2 linked regions of the Anolis sagrei genome follow. The protein of the gene in region 1 interacts with the protein of each later gene in a pairwise test. Links are inferred from orthologs where the notes say so. Each region holds a gene or a part of one and is shown on either strand. Other genes may lie near its edges.

Evidence for each region.
Region 2: the proteins of caspase-10 (region 1) and RIOK3 interact in binary tests that used the Homo sapiens proteins (3 or more experiments, as listed by UniProt). The link is inferred for Anolis sagrei from reciprocal best matches to the Homo sapiens genes CASP10 and RIOK3.

Annotation. Positions count from the first base shown.
Region 1 is NC_090021.1:164,450,221-164,458,692, forward strand, and holds the start of caspase-10, read left to right. Parts: upstream 1-5,065; 5' UTR 5,066-5,188; intron 5,189-5,293; exon of another isoform or gene 5,294-5,601; intron 5,602-8,472. UniProt on the Homo sapiens protein: Involved in the activation cascade of caspases responsible for apoptosis execution. Recruited to both Fas- and TNFR-1 receptors in a FADD dependent manner. May participate in the granzyme B apoptotic pathways.
Region 2 is NC_090024.1:59,771,073-59,779,150, reverse strand, and holds the start of RIOK3 (serine/threonine-protein kinase RIO3), read left to right. Parts: upstream 1-4,662; 5' UTR 4,663-4,819; coding exon 4,820-4,885; intron 4,886-8,078.

The sequences.
Region 1 (8,472 bases):
CCCCTAGCCGGTATGGCCAATGTTAAAAGGGAATAGCTGTGTTAAAATAGAAATATTTATTTCATGCCTGAAGTTATGTGTAAGGAAAGCTGCAAAGCAATGTGTAGGAAGTGGCTCTCACTCCTCGTTCAGCATGCGTCCCCTTTCTTGCTGTTCAACTTTGTCTTATGGCAACTCTATGCTTTTTCAAGTTGCCTATTAATCCACAGTCCTGCTCAGATCTTGCAAACTCAAACTTGCAAACTGTAGATTCCTTAATTGAGTCAATCTGTCTGGGTTTTGCCCTTCCTCTTTTCATTCTACTGTCTACCTTACTTTATTTATCTTTTCTTGTGAGTCTTCTCTTGTCATAAATGTGACCAAACCACTAGAACAATTTCTGTTTGGCTTCTCAGGAGGAGTTCTGGCCTGATTTGATTTGATTCAGGACTTGCAGATTTGCCTTTTCAGCAATCCAGGGTCTCCCTAGAAGTCTTTTCCAAATCCACGTCTCAAATGAATCAATTTTCTTCCTATCACAAGCTTGTAGTATCGCATCGGAGAATATTACCCTGTGAATCATTGTGACATTAGCATTCAGTGATACAGTACTGTATTATGATCTTGACTCGTTCCGTCATTGTACATTTTCCTGTTCTGTAGTGTCTGCGTTTTTTAAAAATAAATCTTTTCAGAAGGTAATGTAAAAAACAAAAAAACACAAGTATGTCCATTTGCTTTTTCTTGATCATCCCTTTCTCTGCGTGCTTTCCAAGCTGAGGTCCCAGCCCCTGAAAATCCTGACAGTATTTACACAGTAGAATCGATGCAGTTTGAACTCCATGCTATGGAGCCCTGGGAGTTGTAGTTTGGCAAGGTAAAGCATTATTTGGCAGAGAAGGCTAAAGACCTTGTAAAACTACAGGTCCTTAGGTTTCATAGCAGTGAAAGTGGAACCAAATGGCCTTAGGCTCCTTCCTTCCACACAGCCACGTAACCCAGAAAATCCCACCATATCTGCTTTGAACTGGGTTATCTGATTCCAGCTCAAAGCAGATAATGTGGGGTTGTATTCAGATGTGTGCCAGGGGCCTTAAATCAACCAGTGCAGATGCGCCTTGGGCTGCCATCCTGCCCCCATTTACTTGGGAACCGGGCTTCTGAAGAGGCAGATACAGGATCGAACTGGAAAAGTTTGTAGTTTCCACCCTGGAGTCTGTTGTCCAAAGTGGAACCAGATGCTTCTAAGGCCTCGTCTACACAGTCATATAATATTTATTTATTTACCGCATTTGTATACCGCCTTTCTCAGCCAGAGGCAACTCAAGGTGGTTCATAGTCAGCAGCGATTCGATACCATAACAGTTATCAAAATACAGTTAAAACAATTATCAAAACAATTCAGCATTTTAAATGTAATATAAAAGAAACAATAATGTCTGTAAAAATAAAATCCTTGGCATCTCCTTACTAAAATCGTCAAATTGCATCATTGGTCGTTCCATATATTGGTTTTCGTCTAATTATGCTCCAGTAGTAAAAGCTTGCTCAAAGAGCCAGGTCTTAACCATCTTGCGGAATGTTCAAAGGGAGGGAGCCCATCTTGTATCCCTGGGAAGGGCGTTCCATAGCTGAGGGGCCACCACTGAGAAGGCCCTGTCTCTCGTCCCCACCAAACGCATCTGCGAGGAAGGCGGGATCGAGAGCAGGGCCTCCCCAGACAATCTTAAAGTCCTAGATGGTTCATAAGAAGAGATATGTCCAGATAGGTAAATTGGACCAGAACCATTAAGGGCTTTATAGGCTAAAGCGGGGAGCCCCCAGTGGCGCAATGGGTTAAACCGCTGAGCTGTTGAGCTTGTTGACCAAAAGGTTGCAGGTTTGAATCTGGGGAGCAGCGTGAGCTTTCGCTGTTAGGCCCAGTTTCTGCCAACCTAGCAGTTTGAAAACATGGTGCTCCATACAGTCATGGCAGCTGCATGACCTTGGAGGTGTCTACGGACGACGCCGGCTCTTCGGCTTAGAAATTGAGATGAGCACCACACCCCAGAGTCGGAAACAACTGGACTTAATGTCAGGGGAAAATCTTTACCTTTTTTACACTAAAATAATCCAGTTTATGATAATCTGGATTTTACATGGCAGCATAGAAGGGGACTAACCTGCCACAGAACCCAGATTATCAAAGCAGATAATCTACATGATCGGCTTTGAACTGGATTATATGAGTATACATTGCCATGTAATAATCCAGTTCAAACCGGATAATCTGGATTTTACATGGCAGTGTAGAAGGGCCTAACCTGCCGTAGGAGCCCCTGGTGGCGCAGTGGGTTAAAGCACTGAGCTGCTGAGCTTGTTGACGGAAAGGTCACAGGTTCGAATCCAGGGAGCGGCGTGAGTTTTCACTGTTAGCCCGTTTCTGCCAATTTAGCAGTTCGAAAACATGCAAATGTGAGTAGATAAATAGGTACTTCTCTGGCAGGAAGGTAACGGCGTTCCATGCAGTCATGCTGGCCATATGACCTTGGAGGTGTCTACGGACAATCTTCGTCTTAGAAATGGAGATAAACACCATACGCCAGAGTTGGACATGACTGGACTTAATGTCAGGGGAAAACCTTTCTAAAGCCAGCACTTTTCAATTTTTTCTGCTTTGAACTGGATTAAATAGCAGTGTACACTAAAATAATCCAGTTTATGATAATCTGGATTTTACATGGCAGCACAGAAGGGGCCTAACCTGCCATGAAACCCAGATTATCAAAGGAGATAATCCACATGCTCGGCTTTGAACTTGATTATATGAGTCTACACTGCCATATAATCCAGTTTGAGACAGATAAACTGGATTTTACATGGCAGTATAGAGGGGGCCTAACCTGCTCCCTCTATACTGCCATGTAAAATCCACATGAAGATAGTACACATGATCTACTTTGAACTGGAATATATGAATCTACACTGCCGTATAATGATCTGGTTCAAACCAGATAATCTGGATTTTACATGGCAGTATAGAGGGGGCCTAACCTGCCACAGAACCCAGATTATCAAAGGAGATAATCCACATGATCGGCTTTGATCCCATATAATCCAGTTTGAGACAGATAATCTGAATTTTACATGGCAGCATAGAAGGGGCCTAATTTGCCACAGAACCCAGATTATCAAAGCAGATAATCCATGTGACTGGCTTTGAACTTGATTATATGAATCTACACTGCCATATAATAATCCGGTTCAAACCAGATAATCTGGATTTTACATGGCAGTATAGGGGACTAACCTGCCACAGAACCCAGATATCAAAGCAGATAATCCACATGATTTGCCTTGAACTGGATATCACTCTACACTACATATAATCCAGTTTAAGACAGATAATCTGGATTTTATATGGTAGTATGGGCCTTAAGAAGCGTTGCTAACAACAAGGCAGCAGGGGACGACGAGATCCCAGCTGAACTGTTTAAAATCTTAAAAGATGATGCTGTCAAGGTGATGCATGCCATATGCCAGCAAATATGGAAAACACAAGAATGGCCATCAGACTGGAAAAATCAACTTATATCCCCATACAAAAAAAGGGAAATGCTAAAGGCAGCTCAAACTTACCTACAGTGGCCCTTATTTCTCATGCCAGTAAGGTAATGCTCAAGATCCTGCAAGGAAGACTCCAGCAATACATGGAGCGAGAGTTGCCAGATGTTCAAGCTGGGTTTAGAAAAGGCAGAGGAACGAGAGACCAGATTGCCAATATCCGCTGGATAATGGAGAAAGGCAGGGAGTTTCAGAAAAACATCTACTTCTGCTTCATTGACTATTCTAAAGCCTTTGACTGTGTGGATCATAATAAATTGTGGCAAGTTCTTGGTGGGATGGGGATACCAAGCCACCTTGTCTCTCTCCTGAGGAATCTGTACAAGGACCAAGTAGCAACAGTCAGAACTGACCACGGAACAACAGACTGGTTCAAGATTGGGAAAGGCGTACGGCAAGGCTGCATCCTCTCCCCCAACCTTTTTAACTTGTATGCAGAACACATCATGCGATGTGCGGGGCTGGATGAATGCAAGGCTGGGGTGAAAATTGCTGGAAGAAACATTAACAACCTCAGATATGCAGATGACACCACTCTGATGGCCGAAAGCGAGGAGGAGCTGAGGAGCCTTCTAATCAAGGTGAAAGAAGAAAGCGCAAAAGCTGGGTTGCAGCTAAACGTCAAAAAAACCAAGATTATGGCAACAAGAATGATTGACAACTGGAAAATAGAGGGAGAAACCGTGGAGGCCGTGACAGACTTTGTATTTCTAGGCGCAAAGATGACTGCAGATGCAGACTGTGGCCAGGAAATTGGGAGACACTTACTTCTTGGGAGGAGAGCAATGTCAGTCTCGATAAAATAGTAAAAAGTAGAGACATCAGACTGGCAACAAAGATCCGCCTAGTCAAAGCCATGGTATTTCCTGTAGTAACCTATGGATGTGAGAGCTGGACCTTAGGGAAGGCTGAGCGAAGGAAGATCGATGCTTTTGAGCTGTGGTGTTGGAGGAAAGTGCTGAGAGTGCCTTGGACTGCGAGAAGATCCAACCAGTCCATCCTCCAGGAAATAAAGCCCGGCTGCTCACTGGAGGGAAAGATACTAGAGACAAAGTTGAAGTACTTTGGCCACATCATGAGGAGACAGGAAAGCCTAGAGAAGACAATTATGCTGGAGAAAGTAGAAGGCATAAGGATGGCATCCTTGAAGCGACTGGACTGACCTTGAGGGAGCTGGGGGTGGTGACCGCCGACAGGGAGCTCTGGCGTGGGCTGGTCCATGAGGTCACGAAGAGTCGGAGACGACTGAACGAATGAACAACAACAACAACATAGAGGGGGCGTAACCTGCCATGAAACCCAGATTATCAAAGGAGATGATCCACATGATCGACTTTGAACTGGATTAGATGAGTCTACACTGCCAGATCATCTGGATGTAGCAGGGACCTAGGATTCCCAAGCATATTTCCCGCCTTTTTGCAGCTGCTCAGCCTTTACTGGGAGGAGCCTCTTTGTCTCCCCGGAAAGTGCTGGGCGGGGCTTTGCACCAGACCAGGAAATTCAAAAAAACCCATTGCGGGAGTCGGAAGTGGCCGAGAAAGAGAGAGATCGGGATCCTTTGAGCTCTTGGATTTTGCTTTAAAGAGGCCCCTTCTCTCATCAGGTTGGCTTGCGTTTCCTTTCTTTCTGCCTTCGGGAGTGGGGTGGGAGGGGAGGAAGCGGGAAGGAGGGCAGGAGGAGTCTTCCTTACAGGCGCCTGATTACAGCTCCCAGGACCACCATGGGGCAGCCCCAAGTGGAGCCAAACTACATTCACTCTGCTGTGTAGATAGTTACAGGTCGTTTTCAGAGAAGGGAGAGTCCTCTGCCACTTCCAGGAAGCCTATCTGATTCACCCCAGAAAACGAAACCCATTTTCTCAAAGCGAAAGTAACTCAACAAGTTCTCTTCCAGGCCGGATTATATGAGTCCCCACTGCCAGATAATCTGGGATAAACAGAAAACCTGGGATTGATCAGATCCTGGGATATATAAGGGCCTGCCTGGAAGGGTCCCAAGTTATAAGGATCTGGAAGGGTATGTCGCAGGAGATTTTGCAGCTCAGCACAATAACACTATGTCACAATTTAAAACAAATCTGTTCCTGGTTTGAAAGTGTTCTTTCCTGTTTCATTTTGTGATATTAGCTACTTTGAAAGTTGTTCTACTCCAGAAACTTCATTTTTGTGGCTGCCACAAACTCGGTTGAATTGGTTGAGACTGGATTGTAAAACTAAGCAAAATGTGCTGCAGGATGTCCCACAAAAGCAAGGTTTTCACAGTTTAAATAAACTTTTACCATGTTTGCATGATAGAACCAATTAGGAAATGACATTTACAACCCAGGAACAAACATTGTGTTACTTATTATTATTGTTGTTATTATGGAGATTCAAAGTGGCTCACAATTGAAAGCATTACAACTTAAAATATACATTATTATTATATTATGTTAGTAGTATTATATTTAATATATTGATATTATATTACAATATTATTTTCTATATTAGATTGTATTACATCATTATTATGGAGACTCAAAGCGACTCTCAATTGAAAGCATTGCAACTTAAAATATACATTATTATTATATTATGTTAGTAGTATTATATTTAATATATTAATATTATATTACAATATTATTTTATATATTAGAATGTATTATTAGAATTATATTGTATTACATTATATTATTATTATGGAGACTCAAAGCGGCTCACAATTAAAAGCATTACACTATAACTTAAAATATACATTATTATTATATGTTATTAATAGTATTATATATTTAATATATTAATATTATATTACAATAATATTTTATATATTATATTGTATTATTAGAATTATATTGTATTACATTGTAATATTATTATTATTACTATTACTATTATGGAGATTCAAAGTGGCTCACAAAAGCATTACAATACAACTTAAAATATACATTACTATTATATGCTAGTAGTATTATATTTAATATTAATGTTATATTACAATAATATTTTATGTATTAGATTGTATTATTAGAATTATTTTGCATTACATTATTATTATTATGGAGACTCAAAGCGGCTCACAATTCAAAGCATTACAATATAACTTAAAATATACATTATTATTATATGTTATTAGTAGTATTATATTTATCATATTAATATTATATTACAATAATATTTTATATATTATATTGTATTATTAGAATTATATTGTATTACATTGTAATATTATTATGGAGACTCAAAGCAGCTCACAATTAAAAGCGTTACAATACAACTTAAAATATTCATTGTTATATGTTATTAGTAGTATTATATTAAATATATTAATATTATATTACAATATTATTTTATATATTGTATTGTTAGAATTATATTGTGTTACATTACAATCTATATTATCTTATAATATTACAATATTAGTAGTACTATATATTGTATATGTGCTGTTTAACATCTACATGAAGCCGCTGGGTGAGATCATTCGGAGTTTCGGGGTGCGGTGTCACCTGTACGCAGATGACGTCCAACTCTGTCACTCCTTCCCACCTGCTACTAAGGAGGCTGTCGAAGTCCTGAACCGGTGCCTGGCCGCTGTAACGGTCTGGATGAGGGCGAACAAACTGAAACTAAATCCAGACAAGACAGAGGTACTCCTGGTCAGTCGCAAGGCCGAGCAGGGTATAGGGTTACAGCCTGTGCTGGACGGGGTCGCACTCCCCTTGAAGGCGCAGGTTCGCAGCTTGGGTGTGACCCTGGACTCATCGCTGAGCCTGGATCCCCAGGTTTCAGCGGTGACCAGGGGAGCATTTGCACAGCTTAGGCTTGTGCGCCAGCTGCGCCCGTATCTTGGGAAGTCTGACTTGGCCACGGTGGTACACGCTTTGGTCACATCCCGCCTCGACTACTGCAACGCTCTCTACGTGGGGCTGCCCTTGAAGACGGCCCGGAAGCTTCAGCTAGTCCAGCGCGCGGCAGCCATGTTGTTAACAGGAGCAGGGCGCAGGGAGCATACAACGCCCCTGCTGTCCCAGCTCCACTGGCTGCCGATTTGCTACCGGGCCCAATTTAAGGTGCTGGTGTTATCCTACAAAGCCCTAAACGGTTCCGGCCCAAAATACCTTGCAGACCACATCTCGGCCTACGAGCCCACGAGGACCTTAAGATCATCCGGGGAGGCCCTTCTCTCGGTCCCGCCTGCCTCACAGGCACACCTGGCGGGGACGAGGGAGCGGGCCTTCTCGGTGGTGGCCCCCTCGGCTGTGGAACACCCTCCCTACTGAAGTTAGACAGGCGCCCTCCCTTATGGCCTTTCGTAGGAGCCTGAAAACATGGCTCTTCGAGCGGGCCTTCAATTGAGTGCTATATCATTGGAAATGATGACCGGAATGGACTATGACTATGAAATCGACTATGACCCCAGGATTTGACGAAGCGGATTTTTAACATAAGTATATGTTAAGCGAGGAGGAGCTGAGGAGCCTTCTAATCAAGGTGAAAGAAGAAAGCGCAAAAGCCGGGTTGCAGCTGAACGTCAAAAAAACCAAGATTATGGCAACAAGAATGATTGACAACTGGAAAATAGAGGGAGAAACCGTGGAGGCCGTGACAGACTTTGTATTTCTAGGTGCAAAGATTACTGCAGATGCAGACTGTGGCCAGGAAATCAGAAGACGCTTACTTCTTGGGAGGAGAGCAATGTCCAGTCTCGATAAAATAGTAAAGAGTAGAGACATCAGACTGGCAACAAAGATCCGCCTGGTCAAAGCCATGGTATTCCCTGTAGTAACCTACGGATGTGAGAGCTGGACCATAGGGAAGGCTGAGCGAAGGAAGATCGATGCTTTTGAGCTGTGGTGCTGGAGGAAAGTGCTGAGAGTGCCTTGGACTGCGAGAAGATCCAACCAGTCCA
Region 2 (8,078 bases), on another chromosome or scaffold:
CTGGGGAGGAGGAGGCGGCGCCATGGCGGGCTCTGGAGGGGAAGGGGCGCCTTCTCCCGAGGGAGCGGCCTCCCTGGAAGCTTCCCCGGGGTCTCCCTTCTCCTCTGCTTCCTCCTCGGCCTTCTCCAGGGTCGGGACGGCGGCGCTCATCCTGCCCTTCGCCTCCTGCCAAGGGAAAGGTCTCTTGCTCTTCCTGCTGCTGCTCCTCCTCCTCCTTTGTGATGCAGGGAGAAGGAGGAGCCAGGGTGGGAGGCGACGCAAGCACCCGGCGCAGGGCATGCCTAGGCTGGAGAAACAACGTTGCCCTTTGGCACAGCTTTAAAAGCCATGCTATGGGATCCAGGGAGTTGTAGCAGAGGCCCCTATGAAATCCATATTATCTGGACCACTCTGAACAACCACCTTGTCAGGCTGCACAGAGAAGCCACTGAAATCCACAAGCGTGTGGTCAGTTTCAACAGAAAGGAGGAAACCATGAAAATGTACAAAATCTGGCTACCAGTATTTTTTTTAAAACCCTCTATAATAAAGAGGAACACTGGAAAAAACAAAGAAACAGGGAACTCCAGACAATAAACAATCAGGGCCAGCTAACACCTCCCAACAAAGTATGGTGATAGTATGATAGCTGGGTCCTGAAGCTCCGAATTTTATGGAGATGCCACAAAGGCGGCTGTGAATAAGGGAAGAGAGGGGGCGGAGTGAGAGTGCGGGAGAGAAGGATGGATAGAAAGGAGGGGACACTTAGGGTAAGGGTTTGGGTTTGGGTAAAGGATTAGGCTTAGGCTTACGGTACGGTTCAGGGTTAGGGTTTCACCATTAAAGTACTCTTAATGTATTATCTGTCTCCGGCCTGGCTTACATTAGCTAAGCATCTCTTGGACAAACAGCACTCCCGAAGGAGCGATGCAGCACCTCCATAATGCTCGGAGCTTCCGAAACCAGCTATCATACTATTACCCCTAACCCAAACCCTAAACCTTACCCTAACCGTAACCGCTAACCCTAATCGTAACCCTAGCCCTTACCCTACCCCAAACCCTAACCATAAAACTTACTATAACCCTAACCATAACCCTAGCCCTAACCCTTACCCTACCGCTAAACCTAACCATAAACCTTACCCTAACCGCTAACCCTAATCGTAACCCTAGCCCTAACCCTTTCCTTACTCCAAACCCTAACCATAAAACTTACACTAACCCTAACCACTAACCCTAATCATAACCCTAACCCTAATCATACACTAACCGCTAACATTAATTGTAACCCTTACCCTACCCCAAACCTTAACCATAAACCTTACCCTAACCGCTAACCCTAATCATAACCCTAATCGTAACCCTAACCCTCACCATAAACCTTACCCTAACCGCTAACCCTAATTGTAACCCTAACCCTTACCCTACCCCAAACCCTCACCATAAACCTTACCCTAACCGCTAACCCTAATTGTAACCCTAACCCTTACCCTACCCCAAACCCTAACCATAAACCTAACCGCTAACCCTAATTGTAACCCTTACCCTACCCCAAACCCTAACCATAAACCTTACCCTAACCGCTAACCCTAATTGTAACCCTTACCCTAACCCTCACCATAAACCTTATCCTAACCACTAACCCTAATTGTAACCCTAACCCTTACCCTACCCCAAACCCTAACCATAAACCTTACCATAACCGCTAACCCTAATTGTAATCCTAACCCTTACCCTACCCCAAACCCTAACCATAAACCTAACCGCTAACCCTAATTGTAACCCTACCCCTAACCCAAACCCTAAACTTAACCGCTAACCCTAAGGGTAACCCTAGCCTTAACCCTTACCCTACCCCAAACCCTAACCATAAATCTTATCCTAGCCCTCCCCTCTTTTCTCTCTGGACCACATGGTCCCTTCCCTTATTCACAACCGCCATTGTGGAATGTGCGTAACACTCGGAACTTCCGGACCCAGCAACCATACTATCACCTTCTTAATAACTACCATGTCAGACTACACCGAAAAGCCATTCAAATCCACAAGCATGTGGACAATTTCAACAGAAAGGAGGAAGCCATGAAAATGAGCAAAATCTGGCTACCAGTATTTTTTTTAAAAACCCCTCTAAAATTAGAACAGTAAATAAAGAGAAACACTAAAAAAAAAAAAACAAAAAAAAAACGGGAATGCCAGACAAGAAACAATCAGGGCCAGCTAACACCTCCCAACAAAGGATTCCCCCAGGCAGCAACCAGCCAGGATTTGAAGGTGCAAGGCTATTCAGTTCTAATAAAGGTGATCAATTGCAAGATTCACACTTACCTCAAACAGACAAGAGTTCTTTCTTTCTTCCACCCTGGACATTCCACAGATAGATAAACCCCACTTGCCTTGTTTCTTCTGAGGATGCCTGCTGTAGATGTGGGTGAAACGTCAGGAGAGAATGCTTTTGGAACATGGCCATACAGCCCGGAAAACTTAGCAACCATAGAGTCATATAGTTGGAGATCTCGTTGGCCAACCAGTCCAACCTTCTGCCAAGAAGCAGGAAAATCACATTCAAAGCACCTCCAACAGATGGCCATCCAGCCTCTGCTTAAAAGCCTCTAAAGCAGGAGCCTCCAACACACAGAAGCTTCCACGACTGAACAGCTCTCACAGTCAGGAAGTTCTTCCTAATGTTCAGGTGGAATCTCCTTTCCTGTAGTTTGAAGCCATTGTTCCGCGTTCTAATCTCCAGGGCAGCAGAAAACAAGCTTGTTCCCTCCTCTCTATGACTTCCTCTCACATATTTATACATGGTCATCATGTCTCCTCTCAGCCTTCTCTTCTTCAGGCTAAACATGCCCAGCTCTTTAAGCCATAGTGTCTGATCTGAACTGGATTATATGGCAGTGCAGACTCAGGAAGAAGGCGACAAGGGACAAGGAGCTGATTTAATTTGATTAATAAATAGCAAGAGTATGAAGAATGCGTTTGATTAAATAAATAGTCTCAGTCTTTTCATGTAGAAGAGATCGATAGAAGAGTTTGTCAAGACAAACATACAGGAAAAAGACTCACATTTTATTATTTTGTATTATTTTATTGTTTTGTATTATTTGTTGTTATTGCTTTTATTATTGATGTATTGTGGGCTCGGCCTCATGTAAGCCGCACCGAGTCCCTTGGGAGATGGTAGCGGGGTATAAATAAAGTATTATTATTATTATTATTATTATTATTATTATTATCATTGTCAAAGGCTTTCATGGCCGGAATCACTGGGTTGTTGTAGGGTTTTCCGGGCTATATGGCCATGTTCTAGAGGCATTTTCTCCTGACGTTTCGCCTGCATCTATGGCAAGCATCCTCAGAGTCTGTTGGAAGTGGGAAAATGGGTTTATATATCTGTGGAATGACCAGGGTGGGACAAAGGACTGCAAGGCACTTGCAAAGGCACTGCAGACTACTTCAACCAGAGAAGTCAGCCATAGCAAACTATGAAAATGAACAAAATCTGGCTACCAGTATTAAAAAACTCAAAAATTACAACAGCAAAACAACAGAGAGTAAACAATCAGGCACATCAAATCACTCTCAACAAAAGATTCCCCCCAGACACTTCCAAGCCATTAAATACTAATCAAGGTGGTCAGTTGAAACATTCACACCTAGCTCCAGCAGACAAAAGTCCTTTGTCCTTCCAGAGATATATAAACCCATTTTCCTACTTCCAACAGACCTCACTATCTCTGAGGATGCTTGCCATAGATGCAGGTGAAACGTCAGGAGAAAATGCCTCTAGAACATGGCCATATAGCCCGGAAAAACCTACAACAACCCATTATTATTATTATAGCACAATAAAAAAAAAACACCACCGAATGGAAGTTGTACGGAAGGAAGGACCCAACAATAAATAACTCGTAGCCTTTCTTAGTTATGCAAAAGAAATCAATTGAAGGGTCTGCATGGGAAATGCCAAATCAGGAAGCTTAGACAGGCAGGGCTATAAACATTAGCTGGAAGCAGTTGTCTCAGGCCTCTTCCACACAGCTGAATAAAAACCCACTTTTTCTGCTTTGAACTGGGATATATGGCAGTGTGGATTCAGATAACCCAGTTTAAAGCAGATATTGTGGCATTTTCTGCCTTGATATTCTGGGTTAGATGGCAGTGTGGAAGGGCCTACAGGGCACTTCCACACAGCCCTATATCCCAGAATATCAAGGCAGAAAATCCCACATTATCTGAGTGTGGACTCAGATAACCCAGTTCAAAGCAGATTTTGTTGGATTTTCTGCCTTGATATTCTGGGATATAGGGCTGTGTGGAAGGGCCCAATATCTACTTTGAACTGGGTTATCTGAGGCCACGCTGCCATATACTCCAGTTCAAAGTAGGTAATGTGGGATTTTCTGCCTTGATATTCTGGGATATGGGGCTGTGTGGAAGGGTCCTCTGAATATTATGATTTTATTCTATATAGGGCATACATTAAGGGTCAAAAGATGGGAAGTGTAGAGTCAGTAAAAGAGCCAAGGTGGTGTAATAGAATGGCAGGTGGTATGGCTTTAAAAAAGGGGGGGGGGAGCGGAAGCGCGAGGCTGTCAAGGGAAAGGGGGATTCCAAAGGAAGTGACGCACAGCCCAACGCAATTGCTACGGACCAATGGGCGCCTGGTATTGGGAATCAGGGGGCGGGAAGAGTGAAAGACAGGCCTAGAAGAAGCCGGAAGAGGTTTTTATTCTTCTGCCATTCCTTGCCGGTCTCCTTGTGGTCTTCCTTGTTGTTGTTGCCAGCTGGCCTCGCTTTCCCTTCGCTCTCTCGCCTCTGCTTCTCCGTCAGCCATGGATCCCGTTGGCGTCGTCCCCGCCGCCGAAGTCAGCCCGGGCCCCGCTTGGCCTCAGAGCAAGGTATGTGGAGCCTGGTCCCTCAGCGCCACCATGACTTTGGAAAGGGGAAGGGCTGGGGGAATTGAAGTTCAGTCACCCGAAAGGCCAAACGCTCGATACCTCTGACTTAAGCCTCTTCCACACAGCTGAATAAAACCCCACATGGCCTGCTCTGATCTGGGATACAGGGCAGTGTGGACTCAGATAACTCAGGGCCCTTCCACGCAGCCACATAACCCAGAATATCAAGGCTGAAAATCCCAAAATAACTACTTTGAACTGGGCTTTCTGACTCCACACTGCCATATATTCCAGTTCAAAGCAGATATCTCAGCAGGTGTTGCTGATCAGGTGAAAAACAACATAGAATAGCGTTGTTTCTTATTGTATTGTCCAACAGAATTACATGCCTTCTCCTACACACACCACAAAACAACACATCCATCCCATCACACCCCCATCACCGCCACACAGCCCCCAATGCCACATCAATGAGATGCCATAGAGTTCAACAAAACCGCAGTTCTAGGACAAAAACAATCCTTCAGTCTGTCTGTCCATGTCTTTGTCACCCAGTATTATCTGTCAGAAAAAAATACTAACAATATGTGGTGGGTTTCCCTCCTTTCGACAAGAATCAAAAGTGTAGGAGCTGTCACTCATTTCCAGTGAGGCAGTGGAAAGGGTGGCACCATTTCAGATGGCAAGTGAAGGGAGGTGACAGGTTGAAAGCTTTCCAATCTAAACAAATAATGAATGGATAGGGGAAGAATGAAGACGGATTACTCAGAAGGATCCTTTCACATTAGGGACTTTCAAGAATGGCATTTGTCACTCCTCTTGCTTTCCTTTAGAAATATTTATATAAATAAAAATGTAATGTTCATTTGTGGGATTAACATAACTAAAAAACCACTGAGCGAATTGACACCAAATTTGAACACTATACACCAGTCAGGCCAACGAGTGACCACTTATAAAAACATTGTAAAACACAGCGGAAGAGACTTAAGAAACCATACATTGAGTATACATATACTCAAATATGTACACACACATATATGCACACAAAACACATATACACAGACTAGGCCACAGCAACACATGGCAGGGGACAGCTAATTTTATAACAATTTTATATATATATATATATATATATATATATATATATAGTTTTACAGCAGAGACCTAATATTCAGGACAATCTACAGTACATTAACTTTTTGCATTTACTGTTATTTTCAAGCTTATACATATTTTCTTACCCTCCCCACCATGTTTCCTCTTGCTTTCCAAAGCAGGACAGCTCACCAGTCTCAAACTAAGGGTGCTGTAGAATTAATGCAGTTTGATGCCACTTTAACTACTATGGTGCGATGCTATGGGATTTTGGGAATTGTAGTTTTACAAGATCTTTACCTTTTTTTTAGGTCAGAGTGCTTGTGCCTCAGCAAACTTCAAATTCTAGATTTCCACAGCATTGAGCCAAAGTGGTGTCAAACTATATTCATTCTGCAGTGGAGATGTATCTTTGATCCTCACAGCTTGAGAGGAAGAATTTAGAGCAGACATGGGCAAACTTGAGCCCTCCAGAAGGCTGTTAGGAATTGTGGTTGTTAGTCCAAAACACCTGGAGAGCCCAAGTTTCCTCATGCCTGATTTAAAGCCTGAATTGATAAACCTGGCCACCTAACTTCCTCCTTATGTTCACAGAGGTGCCATCTTTGTTTTTTCCTGTTAACAGTTCCTGTGCCGATATCAGTTGTGTTGTAAATAACTATTTAATAGGTACAGATTAATAATTGTGATGCGGTGTTGAGTAAAACTCTCTCTCTCTCTCTCTCTCTCTCTCTCTATATATATATATATATATATATCATACATATATTACTGATTAAGATATTTTCCCCCCTACTGTATGCTGCCTCAAGAGGCTCTGGCAGGTTGAGATAGTAAATAAATGTTTTAAACATTACATAAAAAATAAGAAAAGGTTGAAATCCTTTATTCTCTGCTCCAAGATGAGGGAAAACTTTCTAAAAATGGGAAGAATGCATTATGCATGCACTGCTTTGGGGTCCTGGTAGGTTGAGAAGCAACTAATAAGTATCTTAAATATTATATAACAATAGAGGCAACAAATGAATATCTTCAATATATTATATGAAATAGAAAGAGATTGTAGTACTTTATTCTCTTTCCCAAGAGAAAGGAATACTTTTTTTAATAATGGGAAGGACACATTATGCCCTCCTGAAGGGCTATGAATGCCAGCTAATCACTTACGTTGTATTGACAAGATAGTGTCCTGTAATTCCTAGCTAACAGGATTAGGGGTGAGGTGGTACCATCTGGGATAATAGCCAGTTTGTTGTAATGGTTAAAGTACAACCCTCAGCCATGAAGATCATCAGGTGACCTTTTCCAGTCACTCAGCAACCAAACTCACGTCACAGGCTTGTGTAAAGATGAAAAGGAGGGATAAAACATATGTCATCCTGAGGTTTTTATTAAGGAAGTATGGGATCCCTTGATACATTATCTGCCTCCTCCCCAATGTATAATGGGATGGTCCATTAACCTGCTTGTAAATTGTTAATGTGTTGGTGATGTAATACAGTAAAATTAAACCATTTCAAGTCTAAAGTCTACATCCAGATAAGCCTCCCCAGTGTGTCATTACCTGATAAGAGGTTGCAGGTGAAGATGGCTCTAAGGCAGGCAATGAGCAAACAGTAGGCTGTTAGGAATTGTGGGGGTTAAAGTACAAAACACTTGGAGGGCTGAAATTTGCCCATGCCTGCTCTAGAACCCTGGTTCCTAATGTGGGGCATATGCCCCATGGGCGGCGGTGGGGGGGGGGGGATTTGATTTTTAAATGTGGCAATTCGAGAATGAGTTATTATCAGTGAATGTTTTGCATTTCTTTTGATTCTAGGGGCCTTATATACAGTCTGTAAATAATTATTGTGACATACACATTTTAAAAATTAAAATCGGAATGTACATGGTGTTCAGCTGGTGACAATGGAGAGGGGGAAAGCCCACTAATAGAGAGGAGTGGTGAGAACATGTATATAATTAGAGTGTGTATGAGCATGGAAGAGTGAAACAACTTCAATTCCAAGCACCCCACTTCTCTCAATGTTTGTTAAGATTACAAGCTATACAAAATACATAAAAATGTCCCCAGGCGCCGCGTATGAATGTAGCA